Struthio camelus: one gene and its partners. The protein of the gene in region 1 interacts with the protein of each later gene in a biochemical or structural test. Links are inferred from orthologs where the notes say so. Each region holds a gene or a part of one and is shown in the gene's direction. Other genes may lie near its edges. The genes, in order: PTX3, CFH and ficolin-2.

Region 1 (7,233 bases):
TTTCTTAAGATGTCTGTGCGTAATTCAATTTGAAACCCAGGCTCATACTAAAATATATAACTTCACATTGCTGTACATGCCTGCCTCAATGCATTTAAGTTTCACTTGAACAACATATGGAAAACATCTGCCTAGTGCTGTGTAGTACCGATCCTTTTTGTAAACCCTTGAAAGTCCTTACAGTCTCTCTGGATTTGGTTTCCAATAGGAACAAGCACTCTGGCCTGCTGCTTTTTCTCCCATTTAAAATTAGAGCCCTGTAATTTTGGAAGATAAACAGGTCACTTAATGGATGGTAGAAAAAGAATATTGGGGTCAAACTCGACCACATCAAGCTCAGGCCAGATACAAAAAACCACCCCAAGACACCATTAGGTCTTGCAACACCTTCTCTGGGCCAAGTAACTAAAATATAATTCTTACCAGGTTCAGAAAACTTTTAGTCAAATCAGCGTATAATGATCCTCGAGGAGTCCTTGTACTTGGAGAGAATGCCTCTGCACCATTTATTCAGCCAGGCTTTCGCATCCTATTCCGAAGCATTTATTCTGCTTGAACAATCTTTGGCTTCTTCTTGAAGGCAGCTCCAAGCCCCCTCCATACCATCAGTGCAGCAATAAAGGCCACGGCGAGGTTCAGATCCTACCATTGTTCACATGGACGTGGAGAATTTCTGTATTGCTCTAGTCCATAAATACTTGTGCGTTGTACAACCGTTGTTTTCCATAAGTGAAACCCCTGCTTGGGATCTCCTTTTCCCCTGAAGTGCAATGCCTAAACTAGAGTACCCCAACTTATGCTACAACAAGAACGGCTTCGTGCGAGTGTGAATGCATGCCCAGTTTGCAACGCAAACCGGCAACTTTCAGCGTGAAAGCACAAAGGCCAGTTGCAAAGAAGATATCTGCTGATGAATTGCCCTAAACAGCTTACCAAGCAGTTCAGTTCAGCTAGCTTCCATCCCACATTCTTAGCGCAAATCTCTTCTTGATGTTAACAGAAGACTAAACGTTTTCAGGGGCGTGAGTGTCACCAGTGTACTGTGGGATTCATGCTCCTAAATCCCAGAGGTTCTTTGGAAAATCCCACCGACTGACTTGGACGTGCAGCTTCCGGGTCCTTTCTCAATGAGCAGGGTAACAGCAACAGCTGATGTCGCACAGCTAAATACCAGGCAAGGCAATATTTATGACAGCCCTGGAGTTACACGACAGTCTAGCAGAGCACCAATTACTCAGAGTTTAACAAAATGATGAGAAGACATATTTACTTAACATTTTCTAGACTAATATCTTAGTTTGAAATGGAACAATTTTATAACTGACTACACTAAAAATTATTTCCTTCTCCAGATCATTTAGGGCTTACAGCCCTTCATTCTCTGTGCTTGCACCCCTGTTGGTTTCAAGTGGAAGTTTTCTGCACATACAGAATAGAACCCTTAAACTCTGGCCAAATTTCAGCAATGGTAACAACTGCAAAAGACAAAATTCCCATGTTCCCAGACAAGCAAAATTCATCTCAAGGGAAAGAGTAAAGACTAGCAGCACTAAAGGAGGAATAACAAACACCAACCTGAGACATGCTATTGCCTAAATTAGGTTATCATGCATGGTAAGATGTCAGCTCTGGAAATTAACAGCAATTATTCCATCTAAGAAAATATCCATTTCAAATATCAGATGTGTTACAGGAGTAGCATAATTTCACATAACATGATGGATTGGAGCCATGAATCTTCTCTGAACAAAAATACATTGCACAAATGTAAATGGACACAGCAAACGTTACTGGGTTTATATTCACCGACCACAATAAAAGAACAGCAAGGGCAAATTCGAAGCAGCCGCAGTGCTTCTGAATGATATTTAAATGCTCTCACTGACTTGGAATTCCTTTTAATTGAACAACCTGTATACGTGAACTCGTAAACAATCCCAGCAGACAACACAGATCCTGTCTGTTCTTCTTGCAATTTAAAGTCATGAAACAATCCAATTCCTTGTTTTCTCAGATTTTCACATCTTGAATTAGCTCTAAGTACATTGTGCCATGTGTTTGGCATATATCTTTTCAATTTCTAAGCGATTTCTGCATGCGTAGTTCAGCAGCCTCTGCTTTCCTTGGCGCTCAGGCTAGCCAAGGCGATACTGTGCCCACTCCTGAGTCATTTGGTTCTGTTCCATCTCGCTTTGTCTGTCTCAGCCTAAACTACGAGCCTGAAAGCGTGTTTGTCATCTGAAAATGGAAAAACCTTCTTAATTACCTCCTCTCCCTCTTCCTCCCCCTACTACCCTTATGCCCAATGCATTCCAGATTAGATTTTCCCAGAATTTCCAAGCAGACCACACAGTGACAACTATGCAACTCACTCAGAAACTAACACACAGTTGGGTGCGTTTGATGGCTTTGCACCGCTGGCTCCAGGGCAGACAGGGAAGAGGCCCAAAAGCAGGAGTAACCCCAGGTATGTGCTCGGAGTGCTCTGCGCTGGCCCGGCTCTCCTGGCTGGCCTCGGACCGTGCCCCCACCCTCCCCTTGTCCGTTCTCCCTTTACATGTTAAGGGCAGCAAGGGTTGCCCTGTGCTTGGTTTCTGCTCTGTCCAATCCTTGGTCCTACGCAGTGATGTTGTAAAACAAGGAACCTGGCAGCACACTGCAAACCTAACATGGACAGAAAGAGTTCTGCACAGTGGTATTTTGACATTCACTCTATATTAAACTGAGTATTTTAAGTTCAACCATTAAGACCAAAGTTGTCGCTCAGTTTAGCCACTTGCATCCCCGTGCAGGCAGAGCACTCTGAAAACGTTGACCTCTACGTTATACCCTGTTACCTGGGGGTTCATAAGTTATTGCTTTGATATTATTACTTATATTTGCAGGAAAGCAGGCAGAGGCCCCATTGCAGTAGGAACTGCACAGGTAGCTCAGGTTTGCACAGTGCAAGCCGGGTGTCAGGAGGAGTCGAGCTGTAGCAACACCAAACTCTCGGCAGGCTGAACACTGCCTCGTGGAGCAGTGGATCTGCTCTGGGGCAAGGGCACCCAAGGGCACCCCAGGGTGTTTTGTGCAGCTGCATCTCTCCCCCCCCCCCCCCCCCCATGGCCCAGGCGCCAGGAGCTGCCGTGGACGGCGGCAGAATGAGCAAGACCTGAATGGAAGCACGGGACCCTCTTTATGCAGCACCCGTTATTCCTGTATGCCATGTGTATGAGGGTAAGTCACTAAACTACACGTTCTCGCACAGAAAGGGGATGCAGAATACCCAGCAGATAGTTACATGTTTTCTCTATATTCCAAATACTTTATAGTGAATATATAATTTGTGTCATTGCTTTATTACCTTTAATCTCACCCAAGCAATGCATCCTGAAATAATCAATAGCTCATTGAGCTTTCAAAAATTAAAACAGAAACTGTGTAGTTTAGATAAAATTCAACAATAACAATAATATTTAGCACTAGATTAACGCTTAATCCAAGGGTGCCTCATTTTGTTTTCAAGTTAACTGAAACAAATCTAATTGTCCAGCTGCTAATTTTTTGGCCTCTGAAACAAGATACTAATAGTAACGCATTATCCGGAGTTAGAATGTTATTATCGGGAATTAGAGCTAAAAACTGTAAAAATAAAATCCTAATAAGTCATCTTTATTTTCTGAGTTTTCTTCAATTGCTGAAAGCAGTAAAAACTTCTATGGTACTAGCAATTTAAATATAACTATCAGTGAAGCTACAATGTTCAGGTTAAACCATACATATGTACTAAAACCAATTTCACATATAGTTATTTTTCTACCACTCCTTTCCAGAGCCCTGGCATATATCAGCGGTAAAACAAGTTTGCAGAGAACACTTTCCTTTTCCACAAAGGATAGAAAATAGCATATCCGGCGTGCGCTGTGCTTTTAGGCAGCCAACTCCGAGTGATTTCATCCCGTTGTTCTCACCCTCACATCACTGCACGTTACAGCAATCTGCTCTTGGAGGGAAAGTCACAGTTTGCAAAAGCAAGCCTTCCCCGCTTCTTCCCCTCCTGTAATCAGTACATCTTCCCCCAGTGCAAACCTTGAAGGCTGAGATTGAGCAAGTTGCACGCCCCCTTCTACTCCCATCCAACAACAACAATCAGAAGTGCTCTTATTACACCACTGGCACTAGCACTACTCATTCATTCAAGCTGAGGCACTCGCAGCATTTATTAGGGGCTCTCTGCCTCTCACTCCGAGTCTTGTCTCCGCTCAAGACCTTCAGCTCCAGGCAGCGCAGATACTTTTAGGAAACAGCTGGAGAATGCTGCCTCAAGAAATGCTTTCCTTGCTCATACTGTTTTGTGTTTTCAGGGCTCCTGTTTCTGCTCTGGATGAAGATGATGACTATAATCTCATGTATGTGAATATGGATAATGAAATTGAAGGTCCAGTTCTTGGTACTGAGGAAAGTAAGTAGATTTAAACCAGCTTTCTCTTATTAAGCACAGAATTGTCTTCTTTGCTGCTTAGCTCTTGTAACAGTTATTATACGCATTACTTTTTTAAAAAGGAAGAAGCACGTACAAGTAGATTGTTATAGATAGCAAACGTCAGAGTACTTCAACAGTGTCCCTTGGAATTTGCTTTATGCTACTTATTTTTCAGTTTTCCCAGGAAATACTGGGGATGACACTAAGTTTTAGATTTGCTATAATACTCATTGCTTTACCTTTCTCTTTTAATAGGGGGAAACACACTGGTAGTTTGGAGCACATAAACTTTAGAGAGACAGATTTTGTTAAATAACTCTTCTGCTTAAAAACCTAAGTACAAAGGAATAGCAACATCTGTATCTTGTATTTCAGCTGCTTCATGTGACTGTCAGCGAGAACACACAGAATGGGACAAGCTCTTCATCATGCTTGAGAACTCACAGATGAAGGAGAACATGATGCTCCAGGCTATCGATGAGATCCTGAAGGTGGAACTACAGACCGTGCAAGCAGAGCTGAGCCAGCTCGCAGCCAACTTTGCTAGCACGTACGCCACAGCAGTTGAGAAAGTCACTTCCCACATTGTGTCACAGGTAGAGCAGGCACTTGTGAGGAACAGCGAACAAGCTCAGGAAGGAAAGACGCTTCACGAATCTGAGCAAGGCAAGATCCTTGAACACGTGCTGTTACTGAGCCACAATGTGTCCAACAGACTCAGTCAGCTGGAGAGCGTTTGGCAGAGCAGATCTGAGGCGGAGGTTCAAGAGACAGCTTTTCAGCAGCAGGATAAATTCGGTCACACCGCAGGAGACAATTTCATTTTGAACTCTCTCTGGAAAGAACTACAGCAAACCAGAGCTGAACTGAAGGTATCTCAAAAATGGGCAGCTCAGCACTTACTGCCGGCAGGTAAGTCCAGTGCATGACGTTTTGCTGGAGAACTCTCTTCTGTGGGCCTGTCCAAGCAGACATACTGCAAACACTTCTTTCCTTTGTATATAACTCCAAAGGAATCCTATGAATGGTACAGCAGTTTTGAGCAGTCTGTATACACCAGGAGGAGATCCATTAACTTTTCCCTAGAGAGAACCACTGAGCTTTTGAAACGTGGAATCAAGGAAGGATCTAATCAAAGTCCTTCCACAGGGTAAACCAGCCCCTCAGCCAGGATTCTGACTCCTGGACAATCTCCCAGATTCAAACTGTAGCCAAAGAACAGCAAACATATTTTAAACAGACTAACATGCAAAATATGTTCTCTCACCTTTTACCTTTCCAGCTGGTAAGTCCCACACATACTCATTAATCACTGAAGTCTGTTGCTCTCGCCATATACATACCAGCTCCTTCCTTCTACCCTAGCCACTGCCGCCTTCTCACCAACTCTGACTGCTTAGGACCAGATCTAGATCTGAGGACCTGCTGCTGCTGTCAACCAGCAACAGCTGATCACATTTCCTGTGTCCAGGAGGACACATTTTGCTGCATGCAACTGTCAGGATGCAATAGCTTCCCCCAACCATGGAAAAACTAGTTACATTGCCCAACATTTTTTTTTCCTGTCCTTCTGAAGCGTTTCTATTGGTCAGCAAGTGAGGTGGCTGTAGAAGGATGAGCTCATATCTCAAATTTCTTTTCAATTTTTGTGTGCTGTAATATGATACCCAGCCAAAGCAACTACAGAAACTTATGGATGACAGAACAGGCCCCAATCTATATAAAAGCGTTCACGTAGCAATTTTGCACCCACAATATAACTATGATGTATACAGCTCTACCTACTGGATAGCTATCGTTGCATGATTTCTCAGTGGTATTGATACATCTTTAATGATCACGTTTCCCACAAAAAATTACTGCAGCTAAGAAAAAAAAAACCCAAATCCCCCCCTAAAATCTACCCTTACAGAATCTGCAGCTGTGTGCACAGATAGGAAGCTAGGGGTGCAGTTATGCCAGGCTTGTCAGCAACTCCCTAGCAGCACTGCAGACAGGTTCTTACACAGGGGAGCAAGCAGGCACGCTTCTTACAGTGGCAAAGAGTAAAAGCAATAACTTCCACAAGGCTGTTAAAATACAAACACAACAATACTTAACATCAAAGCATTTTACAAGCTAAGACAAAAATCTATACTTTGGAGGTAGAACGTGAATTCAGCTTTATAAGCAAGAATAGATTGCTTTTACTCTTTTTTTAATTGTAGCATTTTAGTAATCTTTGTGTACTGGGAGTAGGTCATACAGCATATTCCTTTTACCACAGACAAGGATTTTGCCTTCCAAAAGTCATTATCTCATTCTTCGCCTCTCTCCTGTAACATGACAAACCTCTCCGTTAGTATGCACTAGGTGAGAGTAAACTCGACCTGCATTAAGCATGGTCTTCTGATCTCAGTCTCATCAGTGGAAATCCAGATTAACTCCACTGCTTTTACTGAATTTAATCCTGATTTACACTGCATAAGAAAGATCAGTATCTGTCTCTACATGGTTTTATAAGAAAAAAATATATGAAATTTTTTTCTTTTTAGAGATTCATTTTAAATACTTCCAGGGTGTCTCTGGAAATTTTTTTCCAGGGAGTTTTTAGCAACTGCCTTTAATTTCTCACATCCTGAACTACTGCCAGACATCTCTTGAGGGATTTTCTAATCACATTTTTTGGTCTTCAGTGAGGCTGTTTTTAATTTTGTTTAGTCCTTGATAATAAAGCCAGAAAGCTTGCTAATTAAAAAGCTGTTTCACAACAGTGTTCCAAAGTAGCA
Region 2 (7,081 bases), on another chromosome or scaffold:
AAGATAGGAATGCGAGTACGAACACCCAAAACTGTCAACTCTTGCATACCCCAGAGAGTGCATAACCTAGCTGATCACCTTAAAGGGGTTGACAACCACCAGTCAGATTAAACAGTAACCCAGGAGTTACAGGGAGACCTTTCAAACAAAGAAGGTCTCAATTTGGAAGGAAGTGTAAAGGGAACATGAAAATTTGTAACAGAAAGGAGAGATTTTTGAGTGCAAACAGAGCTGCAGTCAAAACCAGAGCAGTCTGGTTTTACGCTGGCAGAAGTCACCCCACTGGTATAGCGACCTCTGCCTTGACCTGGCAGAGCGTCTGCCCTCGGGCTGCACCGTGTGAGGTGAAGCAGTAGGGACCTGCGCCTGGGGTGCAGATATGTGACCTTGTGTGGTACTTTCTTTCCAGCATGTGCATTAGCAGATTGTAAGGAGCAGCATGGGTGCACATCAAGCACGCGCACCTTCAGTAGGAGGTGTAAGTATGGGAACTTGCAACCCCGGAGGAGGTGGGGGGGATGCCTGTATCCTGCATGGCCTGTGAGAGATGGAGTGGATGCTGTAACTGTGGGTGGGTGCTCATGACTTTAGGTGATTAGTACTTTGGAGGTTAGTGAGAGAGGGGTGCTTAGAATTTGAAGTTTTTTCTTAAGGCACAGTATTAGACACAAAATGTTAACCTGTTGTATTGCTTATACTGATCCAGAATCTCTGATCCTGATCCTGTTCACTGATTGCTAGTTTATTGTGTGTCGTTAATAAATCAATAAACCAGTTTGATCCTGATTTGGTTTAAGCTATGTGAACTGAGCTTTTTTTTTTCCCCCCCTGTGACACCATTAGGTGATTAGATATCGAATGATGTGTAATTTCAAGTGGTCTGCCAGTGGGAGGAAAGAAAACTATAGACAATGGAAACCATCCCACCAGTAAGATAGTGGGATAAGGCTCTTCTGTGAAGATTTTTTGAGCACCTCGATGGCAGATCCTACGATTCTATAGACCCTAATGATATCACTGGAAGTATGACAGCAAGCATGTTATCACATGCTAATAAAATTACACTGTGGTCAGAGATGCTGTGACTAAGCTCCCCTCATTAGCTATCACTAGTTGTCTCTTGGAAGACACTGACTTCCTCAGGTGTGCATTCATGTTACCAAATAGCTTCCTAACACTCTTCTCTCAGAAACATTCATGTTTGAACAAACACTTTGAATCTTAGTTTTAACTCCCAAAATTGAGTAGGGAACGACCAAGGCCCTGAGTAATGTGGTCTGACCTCATAGTTGACTCTTCTTTGTGCAGGAGGTTGGACAAGATGACCTCCCTGACATCCTTTCTGTGTGAATTTTCCTGCTTTTCTATGTTGCCTGGGCATGCAGTTTTGCTACTAGAGGAAGTATCTGGTAATATCTTGACTGTCTGATTGTGACCACCACAATGTTTGAGTACAGTTGCACCAATTCTCCTAGCAAGGAGATGGGTAAAATCTTTCTGCTTTGATATGTAAAATCCAGTTGCCTTTGACTGCATGACTACTTAGGTGTTACTGCCTTTTTTTTTTTTTTTTTTTTTTTTAAGTTGAAGGAAGGTAAGCGTACTCCAGAGATTTTTCTTCTGCCTCCCTTAGAGGTCCTGAAGCTTACCTCTTTCACTGACACCTCTTCATTAGTCTGTTTTCCTCTGCGTTCTATTTCCTTAGAGCCTGGAGATGACCATGTCATCCAGATATGTTTAAAAGAAAATCAGTTTTGAATCAGTTTACAGCCTATGGAGGATGTGAGTAGGGGAAGAAAGACTTAAGTTCCTGATTTTTATTTCCGTTTGGTTAATGTAAGTTTTGCCCCTGACTTAAGGTCAAGAACATGGGACTGGAAAGGACTGACTCTGGTCCCTGTTTTGCAACTGAAGATGGTTTTTATGTTTATATAATGCCCGTAAAAAGATTACTTCTGAGCCTCACTTCTCAGGCGATTCTTCTAATTTCCACTTTAAATTTAATTTCTAGGATGTTTATAACTATCTGCTCTCGTGTTGTGATATCTTATAGCTTAAGTGGTTTTAACATTCACTGTGTTCCAGTTTGGGTTCAGGTATAGCTGAAACTACCTTTCTTTGACTGTGGTTCAAGCCAGTAATGTTTTGACAAGTGGTTTAGTAACCCGAAAACGGTTTGAGCCAGAACTGATTTAAGCCTCATGATGTCAGCAAATACAACATTTGAAAACTGAAGAAACAATAAAAATGAGGACGTCCCTGCAACATATGTTTCTCCTGCTAATGGGTTCGAGCCACCTTCTCTTGGTTGGCACCTGAGTGCCTTCCAGCACTGCCTCAGCATTTTTGCAGCTTGGCACAGTGGTTGAGAAACTGGAAAGCAGCAGTGTCACTGCTACATTTGAAAATCAGTACTTATGCTGTGACAGGAAGGGCTAACCCATCCTCACTCCCTCCTCACTACAAGGAATCTTGCTTTTGCACTCTGCAGCCCACTGGCACAGAAGCGTGTGCACACACATACGTGCATGAGATTGCTTCAGAGAAGGACAAACAGGCGAGACTGTCCTGGTGCACTTAGAGCGCCGCTGTCTATACCAGCACATGGTTCTCTACCACAGCACAGAAGGGATCACTGACTTCGTTAGTTCTCTCCCATGAGCCGTTTGCCAAGAATTCAGCTTGGGCAGGTGTAAAAAGAGGTCTTTGCTGCTTAGATGCTCTTTACTGCCAGGAACTTCAAAATTGGTGCAGACCAATCATCACAGGGTCATGGAGCAGGGCAGGAGTTCAGTCTGTACATATGAGTCAGCTGGCAGGAGAGAAGTGAGGAGGGAAAAGCAGAGATGTGATGCTATCTGGCAGATCTGTGGCAGGTGTAAACACTGAATGTTAGTTTTCACTAAGACTTGAATTGCCCTGAGCTGGTAGTTGACAGCATAGCACAGGTACAAAAAAAAATTCAAGAAATAATTTCACTTCAGCTCCATTTTGAGAAGAAAAAAGTTCACTGCTTTGGCATTGGGGCTTGATTGGGGATCTGTTCTCTAAACAAACTCTCTTTTATCTTATTTCAGTAGATGAACTAAGCCAGTGGGCTTAAGGATATGTTTATGTAGTCTTTTGGGAACATACACAAGATTGCCGTGTGCTTGCTCTATGTCAGTCTGCCATCAGAGCTAGGGGGCATCCAGTCTGCAGATGTTTTGTGTCTGTCTCCTGAGAGCACTTTGTGCTCTTACGTTTCTCCCCAGGCCTCAGTATCAAACAATTTTCTTTGTGTAATCCACACTTGCATGGTGACTAAAGCCAAGACCTTTAATGAAAATATTAATACGATTGCTGCTAACATCAAGCCCTGGGGAGTTTCACTGTTACCCCCTACTCCCCATGCTGCCCTATAGTTCCTCTTTTAGTGCAATCTTTATTTTTTAAAACAGTTTGTTATCTGTATTGCAATTATATTCATTCTCATCTTCATCTTATGGTTTCTAATGTGAAACCAAAACAAATGGTTCAGCATAGCCTAGATTTATTTAATTTAGTACGTTTCCTTTGCTTAGGGTAATTGGATATCTTAAGCAAAATCTATAGGTTAGTAAATCACTTTGTATTTTTTCAGTCTATGTCTTGAATGACATTCGTATAGCAGCGAATTTATACACAAATAATTTTTTATTTATACACAAATAATTTTTTAGTTCCATTCATTCTTTTTAACTGAGCATATAAAACACAGGGAATTACAAAGTAATTCATCTGAGCAACTTCTTTTGGATCGCAAAAGAAATAAGCTTATCTGAGCATGAAAGAGATTAATATGAAAAAAATAGAGGCATGATGTAAAAACTAGTTGAACACAGGAAGGGGCAGTGTCAGCTGAAATCACCAGGCTTTTATTTATTTATTCATTTTAGCAAAGTTTGCATTGTGTGTCTATCCAAAAAAAAGAGAAACAGTTGTGTGTTGCAAGAGGATTAGAGGAAGTGACTGCTGAAATCAAAGTATAAATACTTTGCAAGGTCAGTCACAGGAGCAGTTACTGAGTAAAATAGGAGTGCATATAACGCAAAATAATCCAATAAGTTAGCTGCTGTTATAAATGTGCTTACTGTGTTTCTGAGTCACTAGCATGTCACTCCTGGGTTATACGGTTCTACTGTTATTTTGGATGTATTGTACTGCAGAAAGAGGTAAGTTTTTAATGTGGAAAAAAGCCTACTTTCTTATACTAGGAAAATGTAATTAAAATAATTTTTAAATGAAATATTCTGATTGTAGTTTATTTTAGTGAAGCTCTGTCAACAATAATTGGGATTTGTTCTCGCAGTACCTAGCACCTTTAGTACTTACTATGCTGCCTTAGGTATTATTTCACCTATTTATTTGGATAAAGACTGTTGCACAACTTTTTAGTAATTACTGTCCCTGTAAACTAGAATCAGATAATTCATTTTTATTATGTTTGTTTGTTAATTATTTTAACATCTAAAACCATAAATATCTATAAATGGTTGGTAGACTAAAATAACAAACACTCAATAAATGTATATTTCTTACGTCTGGGATAATCTATGAGATAATCTGAGAAAGAGAAATGATTACTAGATTGACTGAATTAAGTGTTTACAAAGTATCTGTCAATTGACATCCTTGTTTTGTTCTGTTTTTAATCCATTGCATGAGATAAGCATATACAGATACACTTTTGTCCGTGGCTAAAGAGGCATTAAGTTTTCTAGCTGCTGTTAATATTTTCCTATTCAGTGTTCAATTTCCTTTGCTTGACACACAGAGTTTATTTTTCTTTGATACTATGTTTATACTGTTTAAGCTATATGTTTAATAATTTGATTGCTGTGTTTTCTGTCAGGGATTTATGTATAGACTGTTGGAGAAAGGGTGTTGTGTGTCTTTGAGCTAGTGTGTCTTCACTTAGTTCAGATTGTTTTTTAATTTTATATGAAGGTTATGAAGACCTTATCAATCCAAGCAATCTGTTGAATTTTACTTTGCATCCTTCAGAATCGTGTAGAATTAGGCCCTTTCTTTAAGATTTTTATTCTTTTAAAATTAGCTGGTAGGAAGGAAATTTTATTTGAAAAAATCAGAAGGTTAGTGAAATGTATTACATTACATACTTGTAATACATATTGTTTCAAAGTGCCATTAATAAAGTCTCCTTTTTTTGCAAAGTAGTCTAGAAAAACTCTGGAATTTGAAAAGAAAGTTTGCCTAAATTTGCCCTCTCTTTTCACAATACTTTCTTTCTTTAGAGAGATTGCAAAGGAATGTGAATGTAGCAATATTTGATTCAGCTGGGACAACTATTACCATTGGTCATACAGGGTTCTTAGTGCACGCTTCATATGGAAAGGCGACGTGAGTTTTTTGAGAGCTGTGTTGTTGCACAGGAACTGAAAAATTCTTCGGTGAGGTGGCTTGAGAACTGGCTGGATGGCCGAGCTCAGAGGGTTGTGGTGAATGGCGCAGAGTCAAGTTGGAGGCCTGTGGCTAGTGGTGTCCCCCAGGGGTCAGTCCTGGGCCCAGTCTTGTTCAATATATTCATCAATGACCTGGAGGAAGGGACAGAGTGCACCCTCAGCAAGTTTGCTGATGATACTAAACTGGGGGGAGAGGCTAACACACCAGAAGACTGTGCTGCCATTCAGAGGGACCTGGACAGGCTGGAGAGCTGGGCGGAGAGGAACCTCCTGAAGTTCAACAAAGGCAAGTGCAAGGTCCTGCACCTAGGCAGGAATAATCCCATGCACCAGTACAGGCTGGGGACTGACCTGTTGGAAAGTAGCTCTGCCGAGAAGGACCTGGGAGTGCTGGTGGACAACAAGTTAAACATGAGCCAGCAGTGTGCCTTTGTGGCCAAGAAGGCCAATGGGATCCTAGGGTGCATTAGGCAGAGTGTTGCCAGCAGGTGGAGGGAGGTGATCCTGCCCCTCTATTCAGCCCTGGTGAGGCCTCACCTGGAGTACTGTGTCCAGTTCTGGACTCCCCAGTCCAAGAGAGACATGGCACTGCTGGAGAGAGTCCAGCGGAGGGCTACCAAGATGATTAGAGGGCTGGAGCATCTCTCCTATGAAGAAAGACTGCAAGAGCTGGGCCTGTTCAGCCTGGAGAAGGGAAGATTGAGAGGGGATCTCATCAACGTGTACAAGTATCTGAAGGGGGAGTGTCAAGAGGATGAGGCCAGCCTCTTCTCCGTGGTGCCCAGCAACAGGACAAGAGGCAATGGGCAGAAACTGAACCACAGGCAGTTCCATCTGAACCTGAGGAAAAACTTCTTCACTGTGAGGGTGACAGAGCATTGGAACAGGTTGCCCAGAGAGGTAGTGGAGTCTCCTTTGCCGGAGATATTCAAAACCCGTCTGGATGTGATCCTGGGCAATATGCTCTAGGTGACCCTGCTTGAGCAGGGAGGTTGGACTAGATGATCTCCAGAGGTCCCTTCCAACCTAAACGATTCTGTGATTCTGTGATTCTTCCTGAATTTGTAGTTTGTGTTTGGCTTTGTTGAAGTTGATACTGGTACAATGATGCTGAGAAAGCAGCTTGAGCTATTTCTAACTGAGGTCAAATCACAGAGGAAGTACTAACTGATTAATTCCAGCTATTCTGGTTTTCCACGAAGGAATTTGAAGGCATGCATTTAAACCATGCTTTCTAATATAAAAATATCAAACTCCAAATTTTGGTGGGTATGGAGATCAAAATGCATGATGTAATGAATAGCTTTGAAGTCTACCCTGTCAGAAGATTTGTTTCTCAAACTACTGAGAAACTGCATAAAAAAGGAAAAAATTAGCTGTAGTCAGGAATATGCACATACATGCTGTGACTCTTGACAGTAATGCTTGCTATAGAGAAATCACAAACCCGGACTCTAGGTCAGCAGTGGTGAAGAACGCAGAGTTGAAACGAAACCTGGAAGCAAATATGTCTTAGTAATGGTGAGGAGAGTATTAAGAGATCATCTTTTTTTAAATTTCTTTCCTTTTTTTAAATATAAACAAGACGGAGTTATGAGGCCCCATTCTACATTACTTCTGAGTTGTACTGTTTTTCT
Region 3 (7,766 bases), on another chromosome or scaffold:
ATGCACAGAAACTGGCACAGATGAGAGGTTTTTTTCCCCCCACTTAAAGCAAACCCCAAATCTGAATGAGACTGGTCTGATTACAATCCCTCTCATTTCCCTGCAGTTTTTTCAGAGAGGGGCAGGGGAAGGATGTATGTGTTTCCCTGCCTGAATTAGGTCTCAGAAGCAACAATAATCAAAGATCTACTGGTTTATTATTATTTTATACACACAAGTATATGTCTGTGTATATGTACTGACTATTTGGGGATAAGGAATTTAAGTGGCAACCAATTACTTTTCTTACCTCTCTCCTGCTTACTCCCATTTGCTTAACATTAAAGCAGGCTTTCACTTATCGTAGGAGTTTGGGCTGTAGTTTGAGATATGAGAAGGAACCCACAAAGAAAGTAAATGTGGGGAAGCTATGTTCTGCCTCTGATATCCCAATAGCTGGGAAAGACTCCAAGAAATCAGCCTCATCTGAACTGGGATGCAGCAATACAGAGAAAAAACTAAAATACTGCCCTCTGATAAAATTCATAAACTTTACGGGCTCTGTGTCTTAAGGTAACATGGGGATCAAACTCAGTCAGGCAGTTTGGACTTCACATAACTCTGCCACTGATGAGCAGAGTGCACAGCATAGCAACAGCAAAGCAAAACTGAAATTCTACTCAGTATTACAGTGAACAGGGACTGGGAAAAAAACATACATGTTCTGCCCAGCTAGCATTGCCTGGACATACAAAGCTTTAACTCTAAATTGGTCCTGGATCACCTATAAACCTCTGTTTGAAGGGCTGCAAAGTGCTGACTGGCAGGTAGAGCACTGGAGCATGAGTCAGGCAGTATAGCTTCTGCTAATGGTCTTGGCTCTCCCATCTGCAAAGTAAGATCTGCTTTTTGAGCCAGCAGTGTGCCCTTGTGGCCAAGAAGGCCAATGGTCTCCTGGGCTGCATTAGGCAGAGTGTTGCCAGCAGGTCGAGGGAGGTGATCCTGCCCCTCTACTCAGCTCTGGTGAGGCCTCACCTGGAGTACTGTGTCCAGTTCTGGGCTCCCCAGTACAAGAGAGACATGGCACTCCTGGAGAGAGTCCAGCGGAGGGCTACCAAGATGATTAGAGGGCTGGAGCATCTCTCCTATGAAGAAAGACTGCAAGAGCTGGGCCTGTTCAGCCTGGAGAAGAGAAGATTGAGAGGGGATCTCATCAATGTGTACAAGTATCTGAGGATGAGGCCAGCTTCTTCTCCGTGGTGCCCAGCAACAGGACAAGAGGCAATGGGCAGAAACTGAACCACAGGAAGTTCCATCTGAACCTGAGGAAAAACTTCTTGACTGTGAGGGTGACAGAGCATTGGAACAGGTTGCCCAGAGAGGTGGTGGAGTCTCCATCGCTGGAGATATTCAAAAGCCATCTGGATGTGATCCTGGGCAATATGCTCTAGGTGACCCTGCTTGAACAGGGAGGTTGGACTAGATGATCTCCAGAGGTCCCTTCCAACCTAAACGATTCTGTGATTCTGTGATTCTGTCATTCTGTGAAAGTGCCACTAACAGGCAGCAGCATAAGAGCTGTCTACTTTAACCAAATGTATGTTTTCACTAGTTCATTTCCTCTGGAAACAAAATAAGGGAGGGGAAAGACACCTGAAGTCTGCTAAGGCCCTATGAGGGGTTAGCTGGAACAGCCAGGCAGGAACTTTCCCCATCAGACTTTTGGGAAATGGCTTATGTGGGAAACAGCTTCCCAAGAACTCGCCAGACTCCCAGCTTTGATGGGCAGGTGGTGGGAAAGTGCAGAGGTGGAGCTTAGTGCTAGATTTTTTTTTGTGCTCGATATAAGAGGCTTAGATGGGTCAACTGCTAACCACAGCGCCTGGGACATGGAAGAGGGGAGCTGAGCAGAGAGCACAGACAGCGCTGGCCATGGGGAGGACAGCCCCAACCCTCCTTGCTCTGCTCAGCCTAACAGTGATGGTTTCTGATGCCCAGGACTCCTGCCCAGGTGAGTGCGGCACAAATCCCACTGTCTCCCTGAGGAGGCACTCTGCTTCATCCTCTAGCTCTGTAACACAAGAGCCATAAAAAAGAGCTTGGAGGTGAATTATTTTCCTTCCATGCATCATTTTAATTCAGCTGCAGGTGGGAGGAGGGCAAGAGAAGATGAAGTCCCAGCAGCCATCCCACCCCAACCTGGGGTGCCTTGCCCCAGTTACTGAACGATGCAGAGCAATATAATGGAGTGTTTCAGTGCTCACTGGGTGTCAGACAATCTGGCAGCTTGGGGACACTACCTAAAGTAGCTTTCTGTCCATATTCTCTAGGAGGGTGGTAGCAGCAACTCCAAACTGAGCTGGTGTCAGGAAATTTGGCAGAGCCTTTAATGCTCACAAATCTGTCAATGCTACATAGTCTCTGCTGTCAATATCCCACATGGCATCTCTTGACTTTTGTTTTATTAAACTATAGTGCATTTCTCATGCATGTGATGTCATATATATAGCATCCTCTCAGACTGAACTCCTCTGAAGCTGCAGATATTCTGTGTTGGTATAAAATTCCTCCCCTACATGCACCTCAAGCTGGATCCTCACAGACATTAATACAGGCTGTTGCCAAAGCTACACCTCAGCCATGCAGGGACAAAAATGTGGCAGGAGTATTACATCAGGTATCATATAGCAGGGGTCAGCCATGCCAGGAGCAGGTAGATGAGGGGAGAGTAGTGAATGTTGTCTACCTGGACTTCAGTAAGGTGTTTGACACAGCCTCCCATCACATCTTCATAGGTAAGCTGATGAAGTGCAGGCTAGATGAGCAGACAGCGAGGTGAATTCAAAACTGGCTGAACAGACAAGTTCAGAGGGTTGTGGTCATTGGCACAAAGTCTAGCTGGAGGCCTGTCACTAGTGACGTACCCCAGGGGTCAATACTGTGTCCAATACTGTTCAGTTTATTCATCAGTGACCTGGATGAAGGGACAGAGTGCACCCTCAGCAAGTTTGCTGATGATACAAAAGTGGGAGGAGTGGATGATACGCCAGAAGGCCGTGCCGCCATTCAGAGGGACCTGGAGAGGCTGGAGAGCTGGGCGGAGAGGAACCTCATGAAGGTCAACAAAGGGAAGGGCAGGGTCCTGCCCCTGGGGAGGAATAACGCCATCCAGGCCCCAGTACAGGCTGGGGGCTGACCTGCTGGAAAGCAGCCCTGCAGAGAAGGACCTGGGTGTCCTGGTGGACAACAAGTTGAGCATGAGCCATCAATGTGCCCTCGTGGCCGGGAAGACCAGTGGTCTCCTGGGGTGCATTAGGCAGAGTGTGGCCAGCAGGTCGAGGGAGGTGATCCTCCCCCTCTGCTCAGCCCTAGTGAGGCCACACGTGGAGTGCTGTGTCCATTTCTGGCCTCCCCGGTACAAGAGAGACATGGGCAAAGTGGATTGAGTCCAGCAAAGAGCTGCTAAGATGATGAAGGGATTGGAGCATCTTTCATAGGAGGAAAGGCTGAGAGTGCTGTGCCTGTTGAGCCCGGAGAAGAGAAGACTCAGAAGGCTCATCTTTTCAATATGTATAAACTTCTGAAGGGAGGGTGTGAAGAGGATGGGGCCAGACTCTTCTCAGTGGTGCCCAGTGATAGGATGAAAGGCAACAGGCACAAACTACAACACAGGAAGTTTAGTCTGAACACAAGAAAAAAAACATTTCACTGTGAGTGTGACTGGGCACTGACACAGGTTGCCCAGAGAGGTTGTGGAGCCTCCATCCTTGGAGAAGTTCAAAAGCCACCTGGACATGGTCCTGCACAACGTGCTGTAGGTGACTCTGCTTGAGCAGGGGGCCTGGACTAGATGATCTCCAGAGGTCCCTTCCAACCTCAACCATTCTGTGATTCTGTGAGTGCTGTGCCAGAATGGGAATCACAGAATCACACAGGTTGGAAGGGACTTTAGAGGTCTCAAGTCCAAGCCTCCCTGCCCCAGGCACAATTAATTTATATCATGAACCTCGGGGTTGTTGTTGAATTTGATTTTGAATGGATGGAGAACCCACCACCTCTGTGGGTCCCTGGTTCCCTTTTCCACCCTCAGGGTAGAAAAAGAATTTTCTGAAAGATTTGATCAGAATTTCCCAAGTTGTAGCTTGTGCCCATTGCTTCTCTTCCAGTCACTATGCGCTTCTGAGAAGAATCTGGCTCCGTCTTCTCCACAACTCATTAGGCATTTGTAGATAGAAAGAAGGTCTGTCCCAGTCCATAGCAGAGGAGCGCCCGCATCAATTAAAGAGCATTTTGGAAAACTGATTATTCTCCTCGCGACTTAGCAAATATAGAAGAATTGGGTTCATTTAGGGAGTATAGGGTTACAATACTCAGATCAATGGATTTACAAATGATATAACTTTACTAATTTCAGTTAAACAATCAATGCAAACATACAGGAACTGTGTACAGTGGTAAACAATCAAGACGAACACACAGTAACTATATACAATGGTATTTAGTGGACGCTCCCAGGAAAAAAAAAAACAACAAGGCAAATAAGGTTCCACAGTAAATAAAATTATGAATGATAATGATGCGTCTATTAAAAAAAAAAGAGAGAAGGTGTGCGGGGGGGGGTGGGGGGTGGGGGTGGGAGGATTGCCCTGATCAGGCAGGCCTGCCGATCCCTGGGAACAAAGCCCATAGAAGTGATCTAGCCATACCCGGAGGTGGGGGTGGGGGGTGGTTTGCTGATCCTCAGTAGAAAACTGTGTTTGGGTACAACCCGTATTTGCAATTCGGCCACACCAATGGGGTATGCCGATCCCCAGGAACAAAGCCCGTAGTGGTGAACTCACAACACCTCGTGCAGCTGCTCAGGAGTGGCAAACTCCAGTGGGCTTGTCCTGGTCCGGCATCCCATAGCAGGAGGGAGTGGTGGGGGGAGGCACTGAAGGAGCACTGGTCTTCCTATCCGGTGCTTTTGCTCCTGACGAAGGCTGTCCCGCAGCCGTGCTCCTTGCTTCTTCTCTTTCTTCTGTTACCACCACCAACCCCAGCAGCCCCCAAAAGCCCCACCCATAGCACCAGCAGCCACCTTTTATAGCCAAGGCCCAATTGTGGGCATAGTCATGCTGAGCCTGGTTTCTGCCTCCCTTCTGGAAAGTTCCCTGTGATGGACAGCCAGGGACCCTAGTGTTTAAATGGACACTGGTGGGAATCCCGATCAGGGCTGGGCAGTCTGATGGGGGTCAAATAAAGGGTAACTGCAAACTCCAACATAGGTCTCCCCTTCACCATCTCTTCTGCAGGTTCAATGACCTGCAGGTTGAAAGAGGGTCTCCCAGACCCTCCTCACGTGCCATGTGCTCCAGCACCATGACCATCTTCATGGGCTCTTTTGGATTTGATCCAGTTTATCAACATCTTTTTTGTACTAGGGGCCCCAAAACAGACCCAGTGCTCCAGATGTGGTCTCATAAGAGCTGAATTAGGTGGAAATAGTGACCTCCCTCAAGGTATTAGCTATACCTCCATGTGTTGTTGGCCACCTTTGCTGCAATGGTACACTGCCGACTGAGATTCAGCTTTTTGCCCTCTGGACACCCAGGGCCCTTTCTGCAAAGTTGCTTTCTAGGCAGCTAGCCCTTGGTACATGTCCTCTTAGCCCATCCCAGGGCAGGACTTTGCATTTGCCATAGTTGAATTAAGTGAGGTTTGTGTCATCCCATTTCTCTGGCCTTTCGCAGTCCCTCTGAATGGTTGCTCTGCCCTCCAATGTATCAGTCCCTCAAGTTTGGTATCATCTGTGAACTTACTGAGAATGCGCTGCATCCCATATACAGGTTGTTAATACAGACATTAAACAGTGTTAGCCCCAGCATAAATCCCTGAGGAATGCCAATATTAGCCGCGTGCCAGGTGGACTTTGAATGTCTGCCTCCATTCTTCAAGCCCAGTTCCCTCCACCCACCCCGCCCTTCAGTCTGTATATCCAAGCCACATCTCACCATTTTGATTACAAGGATGCTATGGGAAGCTGTGTCAACAGCCTTGCTAAAATTACAGTAAATAACATCTGCTGCTCTTCCCTTCTCCACAGAGCCAGAGCAATAATGTCTTCTTTTAAAGAAGGCAAACATGTTGTTCAGGCATAATTTGCCCTTGGTAAATCCATGCTGGCTGTTCCCAATCCTCTTCTTGTCTTCGTACACTTTGAAATGACTTCTAGAAAGGATTTTTCTACCACGTATCTAGTGGCCAAGGTTAGGCGGACTAGCCTGTAATTTCCTAGGTCTTCCTTCTTGCCCTTCTTGAAAATGATTTTGACATTTGCCTTTTCCCAGTCATCAGAAACATCCCTGATTTCCATGACCTGATGAAGAGGGTAGAGAGCCTCACAATGACATCTGCCAGCTCTCTCAGCACCCTTGGGTACATCAAATCTGGTCCTGGGGACTTGTGTATGTCCAACTTACTTGAGGGATCCTTAGCTCAGTCTTAGTGGACTGTAGCCAATATTTTGCTCCCACTGACTCTGTACAGGGACAGACACTGGAATATGGGAGTGTCCCTATGGGAGTGTATGGGAATATGGCAAACCCTGCCATTGAAAAACAAGACAAAAATGGCCTTTTCAAGTTCTTTGGCACTAGGCATACTGCCCCACTGAGCAGTGGGACCACATTTTTCTTACACTTCCTTTTGCAGCTGATGTACATACAGAAGCCTTTTTGGTGTCCTTCATATCCCTCACTAGTTACAGCTCCAGCTGAGCTCTGGACTTCCTAACACCATCCCATAACACCATGTTTCTCTGTTCCTCTGGGTGCTTGTCCTGCTCCCATCTTCTGGGCACTCCTTTTGCATTTGAGCCCTCTGTTGGCTTCCTGCCATGCATGTCCAACAACATGCATGTTGCAGTGGACCATTTTTGTACTTTGAGGAGGTTGTCCCTGAAGGTCAACCAGTTCTTCTAACACAAATGCTGTCACAGCAGTAAAGCCACACATCCTACAGATCCTACTACCCTCAAGACACAAGAAGCTATTCCATTTTATCTGCACCTGCGCTTTGGGACAGGGAGCTTGCTGGTGTGATCACCTTTCTTGTACCTCTGCCAGTGCGTCAGTGCTGATAGAAATCCCTGTCAGGCAGTGCCCATAGGTATTTTACAGGCATGCCATAAAGTCTGCCTTCTTTTGACCATCTTGATAGTACTGATCGTCCCAGGGAGTTTGGGTGGTATCCAATAACATAATTGAGAAGGTGGAAAACCCTGGCACAAAGGCTTCTTGTAGATGATTTAATAAACCTGGTGCCTTTTACCTTTCAAAGATACTGTTCAAAATAATTAAACTATGGTAAGATTACTGGCCACTTTTGCGGAAGGAAAACAGGGTTATCAACTGCAGAAGGTATCCAAAGAACACACAAGGAACATATAGCTTGTTCCTATTGATATGAAAAGAAAATATGATGTTAGCAGAAATCAGACTTGACACTGAAGTCAGTGGAGCTGCACCAATAAAAGTGAAAGTAGAATTTGTTCTGGTAGTTTGCAAGTGTTTGTTCGGCAGAGAAAAGCTGTTCATTTCTGTTCTGTGCAGCACCTAGAACAGAGAGTTCCACACCCAGATATGGGTGGCTAGGACTGATTTCAGATTTGGGATAGGGAGTTTGCTCCCTGAATTACTGATTTCAGAATCAGTAATTTTTGTAGAAATAAAACAGTAGAAGAGGAAAAAGATACAGTAGAGTTGCCCAAATTCTGCTTTGCACCTTTGCCCAGCTCCTCCAATACA

The links.
Region 2: the proteins of PTX3 (region 1) and CFH form a complex in vitro, tested with the Homo sapiens proteins (3 studies listed by IntAct, with this or other methods). The link is inferred for Struthio camelus from reciprocal best matches to the Homo sapiens genes PTX3 and CFH.
Region 3: the proteins of PTX3 (region 1) and ficolin-2 interact in a biophysical measurement, tested with the Homo sapiens proteins (2 studies listed by IntAct, with this or other methods). The link is inferred for Struthio camelus from reciprocal best matches to the Homo sapiens genes PTX3 and FCN2.

The regions. Positions count from the first base shown.
Region 1 is NC_090950.1:32,021,430-32,028,662, reverse strand, and holds the start of PTX3 (pentraxin-related protein PTX3), read left to right. Parts: upstream 1-4,153; 5' UTR 4,154-4,296; coding exon 4,297-4,444; intron 4,445-4,840; coding exon 4,841-5,377; intron 5,378-7,233.
Region 2 is NC_090949.1:11,594,439-11,601,519, forward strand, and holds the start of CFH (complement factor H), read left to right. Parts: upstream 1-4,031; 5' UTR 4,032-4,132; coding exon 4,133-4,193; intron 4,194-7,081. UniProt on the Homo sapiens protein: Glycoprotein that plays an essential role in maintaining a well-balanced immune response by modulating complement activation.
Region 3 is NC_090961.1:13,931,430-13,939,195, reverse strand, and holds the start of ficolin-2, read left to right. Parts: upstream 1-4,709; 5' UTR 4,710-7,766.